2 separate regions of the Mus musculus genome follow, and region 2 is reported to be linked to region 1. Evidence: microRNA targets listed by miRTarBase, many of them from high-throughput screens and not tested one by one. Region 1 holds a microRNA gene; the other region holds the end of a gene's coding sequence.

What was found. Region 1 holds the annotated microRNA mmu-miR-181a-5p (AACAUUCAACGCUGUCGGUGAGU, at 2,510-2,532, opposite strand). A microRNA usually pairs through its seed, bases 2 to 8, with sites in the 3' UTR of a target mRNA and lowers its output. Matches are read on the target gene's strand: a 7mer-m8 pairs with bases 2 to 8, a 7mer-A1 pairs with bases 2 to 7 and ends in A, and an 8mer does both.
Region 2: miRTarBase lists Ogt as a target of mmu-miR-181a-5p. Seed matches in the 3' UTR shown: 8mer at 2,040-2,047.

Annotation. Positions count from the first base shown.
Region 1 is chr2:38,851,121-38,855,272 of GRCm38, reverse strand. It overlaps Mir181a-2 (microRNA 181a-2), which reads right to left and starts at 2,538; the gene lies at 2,463-2,538. The region is part of intron 3 of Nr6a1 (nuclear receptor subfamily 6, group A, member 1); the gene reads left to right. Nr6a1os (a long non-coding RNA gene) reads right to left here. Exons shown (of 7, transcript XR_866167.2): 3 at 2,914-3,058. Mir181b-2 (microRNA 181b-2) reads right to left here and starts at 1,443; the gene lies at 1,355-1,443.
Region 2 is chrX:101,681,709-101,685,708 of GRCm38, forward strand. Ogt (O-linked N-acetylglucosamine (GlcNAc) transferase (UDP-N-acetylglucosamine:polypeptide-N-acetylglucosaminyl transferase)) reads left to right here. Exons shown (of 22, transcript NM_139144.4): 22 at 448-2,643. The coding sequence ends at 622. Among named protein-coding and RNA genes, the nearest start is that of Gm52429, 12 kb to the right of the region's middle.

The DNA.
Region 1 (4,152 bases):
TTTCTTTTGTTATTTTGATTCTTGTCTCTGTACAACTGTATTCTCTCCTTTCCTGTCCATGCAAAGATAGTTTGAAACACTAAACTGACAAGACACTTCTGTTGTCTTTCTCTTAGACTTCAGTTGTATAATAATTAATTTACAACTAAGGCTCATGTTTTTATTTCATTAGCAGGAAATATTTTGTGGCTTATCTTACAGTATAGGATTTGGAGAATTGATACTCTCCTTTAGTTTTTGTTACCATAAAATGTTTCCTGTCTCACTTGGCTGTTTTTCTTGTTATAAGAACGTATCTTGGGAAAGTAAGAATAGATGGTTTTGGCCAGGAGAGGTTTTTTTTTTTTTTTTAATGTGTCTAAACAATAAAAACCAAAGTATTCATACGAAGACATACAGTCATTCAAAAGAATGAGAAAGGATCGATGGCAATGGGGAGATGACTTCTTCAGTGAGTGTTCACCATGGAAACATACAGACTTGAGAAAGTGGAGACAGATGCCTCCTGGAACTTGGTTGCCTGCTGGCATGCCTCAGGTTTGACAATGAAGTGGAGAGTGATTAAGGAAGACACCTAACACCTACCCTGGCTTACACATGCACCAAAATATGTACATGTACACTAACATAAAGTACAGGTGCTGCAGTTATTAGTAGACTGCTTGCCTATCACATACAAAACCTTGGTTTCAATACCAGGCTTGGTGATACACACTTGTGATCCTAGTTAGGAGAACATAGGATCAGAAATTCAAGGCCACTTTCAGCTACCTAGCATAGGATATGTAAGACTATGTCTCAAAAACAATTAACAAATAGCCAAAATAATAGTAAATGTGGTTTGTTAAGCTTAAAGTATATAGCTGAGTGTAAAGGTAAATTGAAGAGCAGTGAGTTCCTTTTGTTGCCATTGAACTTCCCCTGAATTACAGTTTTGCCTCTGTTTTTATACATGTAGATAAGTCTTCAAAGGTATAAAATTTTTCTTTATGTTGTGTGAGTAATACTATTAAATGGATGTTTTTATGTAGTTTTCATAGAAGGAATGTATTTGAGATGAGGATAGATTTAAATTCTTTTCATATACTTTTATTTTAAAATAATTATGTATATTTAAGTATTATTTTTAAATATTATGATGTCAAGGCATATTAATCCTTTTGCCTGTGATAATATAAATTTCCCAAAACTTGGAATATTTGAGAAGAAAATAAAAAATACTAGGAATTATAGAGCTTCTTCCATATTAGAAGCAAAGAAACTAAAGAGACTTTAGATAAAAGATTGAGGTCCCACCTGGAGCAGTACTTCCGTACTCTGGTGACTCTCTGGGAGTACTTTTGTTTCTTTGCGTTTTTTGGCCCGCAGTTTGCATTCATTGATCAGTGAGTTGGTTGACATTCAAACCCACCGACAGCAATGAATGTTGAGTGCAGCCATCAATGTTTCCTTTTGATGAAATTGTCTTGGTCTTTTCTATCTCCTGGCTCTTCTTCCCACTATGGTTCTTTGAAGTCTGTTGTATGTTAGTAACTAGTCATCTGTATGGTTGTGGACTCATAATTATAGATCACCTTGACTGTATAGCAAGAACTTGTTCAAGACAGAAAAGTTGTGAGGAAGAAGGCACTATGTGAGAACCTTGTAAGTAGCTCTGATCACATGGGCTGAGACTTGGATGTTGATGTCTGTAAAGGAGCCCTCAGAGACATTGCTTCATCTTTTGTTTCAAGCTGAGACGTTAAGTGCCCTTTTCAAGGTAAAGCAGTATAGATTATGATTGCAGTTAAGTAAAAATTTTTGTAGTAAACATTTGCTGTGAGCCAGAAACTGTTCAAAGTACCCTCATATATCTTCTCATTAAATTAAAACTCTGAGGTTCTCTCCTCTCCTATTCTACATTTGAGAAAACATACTTGGATACGGAGGCTCAGAGATGACCCAGAATTCCTTAAATTAGCACATGGAGATGGAAATGTATCTGGTTCTCTCATGGAGATGTCAAATCCCTAACCGCAGTAACTGAAACTGGAGGCACAATATGATTTGTATAGACAGTGAGTAACTCTGTGAGTATTTTTGCTGAGTAAATCTCTTGACCCTAAAGCAAAAATTTGAAAGGACGTAGAAGAAATGAGAATAAAAGACTTAACTAGATTTTTTTCCTACAGTAAATAGACATTTTTAATACACCCTATTTCTGACTAGAATGACACATTTCTAGAAGATATTTGAGTGCATTTGGTACTATGATGGCACTTCCCATAAATTGTTAAAATGAAACACTTATTTATCAAGAAATTACAAAAAATAGACAATATAAATACATGGAAGCTTAAAAAAAAAACTTGCTGGTTCCCTTTAGAAAAGAGGCCACAGGACTGTATCTTGTGATGTCTGTCACATGATATATCTGTACAGCCTACTCCTTTGCTTCAGGAAACTTGTTGTCTGTAAGAATCCCAAGGTACAGTCAACGGTCGGTGGTTTTTTTGTTTTTGAATCCCAAACTCACCGACAGCGTTGAATGTTCCATGGAGTCCTCTTAAGGCTGGCTTGGTTGCCCATCTTTGGCCTGCTCTCATATTCTAAGGACCACTGCTGTTGGGTCTCTCACATTCTTCCCAAAATTTCAAGTTAACAGTACTTACACTGTGAAGTTAGTTTGCATAAAGCAGAAATGAGCTGCAGGATTGTGAGACTGCAGTTTACATTGCTGACTAAAAGTGGATATCTGTGGAAATATTTTTCAATGCTATCATTCTGAAAACATCAATATAGCAATTTTGTAGTAATACTTTAATTATTAATGTACAAAAACAAGAAAGACCATAACACATGCTGGGGACTTATGTGTAGTAGGATTTGTATATTTAATTCCAACCGTGTTTTCCTTAAGAAACAGAGACTTACCCGGAGTTCCATAGCCAGAACTTGAACACCAGAGTTCATTGTTCCAGTATTGGTTGGATATGTTGCTTTCTCCTTCCTTTACCAGTCTCAGATTTGAACCTTTACTGCAGAGCTAAATCAAACAAGCAAATTCCTTCTTGTTTGCCTGTAATAGTAGAAAATACATCTAAAGTCATATATTTCAGAGAAAAAGATGAAAAACAAAACTCAGTAGCTGAGAATCATGGGCTGCTAAATTACCACAGAAGTGCTAGTGATGCTCCATGATTTTTTTTCCCCATATAGGAAAAGTAAAAATTCTATGTGTACTAGAGCACAGAGAGTGTATCTGGAGAGATGACTCAGCAGATAAGAACTTGTACTTTTCTAGGCGGGACTTTGATCCCAGCACCTGTCTTAACCACAATCTGTAACTACCAATTCTTGCTGCAGGGATCTGTCAACTCAAGCCTTCACAGGCACTTGAACAAACACACACACACATACATACATACATACATACATACATACATACATACATACATACATTCATTCATACATACATACATACATACATACATACATACATACTTAAAAAATAAAAATCTTTAGAAGAACACAGAGCAACTAAAATGCCAGATGTATCTGATCTTTGTTTTGGGTGGTTATTTTTTATTACTTATTGACTTTCTTTTCCCCCCTCCCTCCCTCTTTTCCTCCTCATTTTTTTCTCCTCTCCTCCCTTCCCATCCCTCCCTCTCTTCCCCTCCCCCTTCCTTCCCCTCCCCTTATCTGGAACTCTCTTTATGTAGAGCAGGCTGCTTCAGACTCAGAGATCTGCCTGCCTTCCTCTGAGTGCTAAGATTAAAGGTTGTATCATCATGCCTGGCTATTTATTGAATATTTTTTATGAAAAGTCTTGAAAACTAATTAAACATTTTTCAGAATATTGGCTTTATTTTAAGCAACATAGAAGCTTTGTAGAGCTGCTGGCTGAATTGAGGTTAATATCTATCTAATCTAGGATACTTTGTGTTTAAATATTTTCTTAAATGTATTTATTAAATTTATTATTTTTATGTGTATGGGTGTTTGCTTAAGTATATGGCTGATAATCTCAAAGGCCAGAGGAATGTGTCAGATTCCCTGGAACTAGAGTTAGATGGTTATAAGCCCACATATGGGTGCTGGGAATCAAACTTGAGTCTTCTGGAAAAGCAGCCAGTACTCTTTTTTTTTTTTAAAGATTTATTTATTTAT
Region 2 (4,000 bases), not on the chromosome of region 1:
CAGCCATCTTTCAATAAATTGCTGATTCTGTGACAAGCCTCATGACCAAAATAAACTTGGAGAGGAAAGGTTTTATTTGGCTTAGGTATCCATATCACAGCCCACCATGAAGGCATGCCAAGGCAAGAACCTGGAAGCAAGAACTGAAGCAGAAAATACAACAAAGGAGCTCCTGCCTAGAGCTGTCACTGCCCACACTGGCCTGGGTCATTCCTCATTAATCAAGAAAGTGTCCCACAGACATGCCCACAGACAAGTTTGATGGACGTAGTTTTTCACTTGAGGCTCCCTCTTCCCAGATGACTTTAGTTTGTGTTAAGTTGACAGGCTAATTGGAAAAAGTATAACTTTGGTCATATTTTGCCACAGAAGTGACTAAGTGTTTATTCGGTCTGGTGCTGAGTTTTCTGATTTGTAAATTTGGTTCTCTTTGTTTTTACCACCTAGCCTGAAGAAAATTCGTGGCAAAGTCTGGAAACAGAGAATATCTAGCCCTCTGTTCAACACCAAACAATACACAATGGAATTAGAGCGACTTTATCTGCAGATGTGGGAGCATTATGCAGCTGGCAACAAACCTGACCACATGATTAAGCCTGTTGAAGTCACCGAGTCAGCCTGAATAAAGACTGCGCACAGGAGAATTGCCCTATACCTGAGCCTCAACCTTCTGGGGGAAGGGAACTAGATAACATGCTTTGTGTGTATCTGTGTAGTTCTGTGTTGCAGACGGATGATATATAATGATAATAGAATAGCACATTCAGACTTACTTCCTGCATGATAGGGAGAGACAAGAAAGAAGAAATGCTATTCCACAAGGAATCTCTTAGAGTTTTGCAGCAAACAGGTGGTGCACAGGTCTGGAAGGTCTGGTCTCCCTTGGTCTTCCATGGGATGCTTAATGTGGAGGGGAGATAGAGATTAACCAGCCGTTTTGTGATGCCGTGGATTGATCAAGTCTTCTGATCCTTTTTTTTTTCTTTATATTTTGGGTTTTGGAGCTTTTAAAAATGTTTGCTTTCAGGTATTTTTACTCATGTGAAGTGATCTTGATTCTTCTGAGGTTTTAAACTAAAATGTTGCTTCCTGTTTTAGTGTCTGAACTCTGACAGGGTGACAGGGACCTTGCTGGTGTAGTCTTTTTATAGGTTTTATAAACCACATGAGCCTATATCAGTCATTTTAGTGTCTGACCTAATGCTTGGCACTGTCAGTGCTTTGTTTAGATGATGACTTAAGACTTTTCAGCCTGTTTTACACACCCCAGCTCCCGTTAAATTCTCCTGTGACTGCTAACAAACCCATGTCTGCTTTCAGACATCCCAGGGTGTTTCTCTCGAACATGCCATCTGGTGCCAAATGAAAATTCTTAGGAGTGAATATTAATCATGAAGGTCACAGTTGTGGTACTGTTATTGATAATAATATAGGGTTTTTTTCTGCCTAAGTTTTACCTGTTTCACCAGTGTTTCAGCCCTTGACTGCCCCTCCTATGCTGCTTCCAAAAGTAATAGTGTGATAAGATTTTTACCTTCCTTTCTAAAGTTTGTTTTTTTTTTAAAGTGAGTCCTGTTCTTCCCATTTCTTTCAGCAGAAATGAAATCCCAGGTAAGTATATAAGTATTCAAATGTTTGGTTAGTAAATTACAGTTCTCTCCAGTACCTTAAATGGTGTTCACCGCTCTGAAGAAGCATCTCTATACAGGCAGTTATTTTATTTTTAGACTGTGTTAGAATGTCTGGACTTAGCTTCAAACTCTATGGATTCGGCCTTGGTAGGGAATTGTACCACCACTTGGTTTGGACTACAAATTAAACATTGGCCCTCGCGGAGCTTGAGTTCTTCATGGTAGAAAACAGTTGCATTTCCGTAAAGGGTGGAGGGCTTGAGGCTTAAATATATGAGTATGTTTATACTGCTCTACTGCACTTAGACTCTCCACTCACAGATAAGTCTTGTCTGTTAGTAGTGCTGTAGATTAAGTCTTTCCAAAGCACCTAGGCAGTGCACCTATTCTGTAGTTGCAGCTATTGCCTGAATGTACCTTAGCTGACAAATTATTGATAATTAAGAACTTGAATTTGTGATTCTTACTGCTAATTAAAACCTAAGCAAGAAGTCTCATGTAATTCTGATAGCAGAATTGCATTGTGTGAACTGTGTAACTTTAGTAATGTAAATCAAGGAACATCAGTTAAGAGATTTCCTAATTTATTTTTTAACTGAATAAATATCAGTTAAAAGATTGCCAGCATGGTTACAGGTAAACTGATTTTCAGAATTCACTGAACTACTAAATGTGGGATTGGATAATAGACTTGGAGTGCCGCTGAGGCTGAGATCTGTGGCCATTTACATAGCACATCATTCCTCCTATAGGGATGAACTTTTTTTCCGACACAAAAAGTAGCCACTGCGGTTAAAGCTTTGCTTATTGTAACAGGCTTTTATTTCCAGGTAACCTATCTGTGGAAGACCTAATTCTGAATAGAGTAATAGATATTACTGGAAACTGATTTGTTTTTTTTTTCCTATTATACTCTGCTTTATTGAAAAAGTAAAGCATTTAAAATTGTGCTCCAGAAATTCAGATGTTGTCTTGCGATCTTTAAACAATAAAATGGATGATTTCCCCTTAACATGGCTTGGTGTAGTTTGTCTCATTATATTGAAACCTATTCTTGAATTGCTCAAAACAGTCCAACCAGAAGTGTTTCCTTAAGTTGATACTAGGAATTAACATTATTTTCTTTGTGATGGGAGGGTTGGAGGTGGTAAATAATCCACTAAGGAGAAACAGAGTCCCATTCTGAGGATTATGCATATCCAGCAAGTATATTAATATGGAGCTGGAACTCCAGCCTATGTAGTACATTCTTTATATGGACTTGGTTTTTTTTTAGGTATTTGCAGACAGAACTGTTTTCTATTGTGTACAAACTCAGCCACAACTTTGGCTTCCAGCTTTTTCAGAAACATAAAAGGGAAATATTTGGAACTGGAGAGATTGCATAGCAGTTGGTAGCACTGGGTGCACTTCCGGAGGCCCCAGGTTCGGTTCCCAACATCTACTTGGCAAACTATTCCAGATCCAGGGGATCTGACACCTCTTTTGGCCTCCTTGGGTATGCACATGGTGAACAGGTGTACATATAGGTAAAGTACTTATAAAATTAAAATTAACATGGTGCATATACACACATTCAGGTAAAACCCATACACATTTAAAAAAAAGTGTGGGATGTATGTGTGAAAAGGGAGTGGGGTGGTAAATGCCTTTAAGCCTAGCACTCAGGAGTAAGAAGCAGGTGGTGCCCAACCTGGTCTACAGAGCTAGTTGTAGAACTTGTGACTATACAAGACCAAGACTATACAAAGCCTGGCTTCAGAAAACCAACCCAACCCCTGCAGAGTGGCACTTGCCTTTTATCCAAGTACTCCAGAGGCAGGAGCAGGCGAAACTTTGTGAGTTTGGGGCTAGCCTGGTCTGCAAAACTCCAGGGCAGCTAGGACTGTTACATAGAGAAACTATCTTGAAAACAAGGGAAATAGTGGTTTCAAGTAAACTTTCAGCTGTTTTCTTTCTTTTTTATTTATTTATTTATTTATTTATTTATTTATTTATTATTAGATATTTTCTTTATATACATTTCAAATACTATCCTGAAAGTTCCCTATACCCTCCCTCCACCCTGCTCCCCTACCCACCCACTCCCACTTCTTGGCCCTGGCATTCCCCTGTATTGGGGCATATAAAGTTTGCAATTCCAAGGGGCCTCTCTTCCCAGTGATGGCCGACTAGGCCATCTGCTACATATGCAGCTAGAAACATGAGCTCTGGGGGCACTGGTTAGTTCATATTGTTCCACTTAGAGGGTTTCAGAACCCTTCAGCTCCTTGGGTGCTTTCTCTAGCTTCTCCATTGAGGGCCCTGTGTTCCATCTTATGACTATGAGCATCCACTTCTGTATTTGCCAGGCACTGGCATAGCCTCAT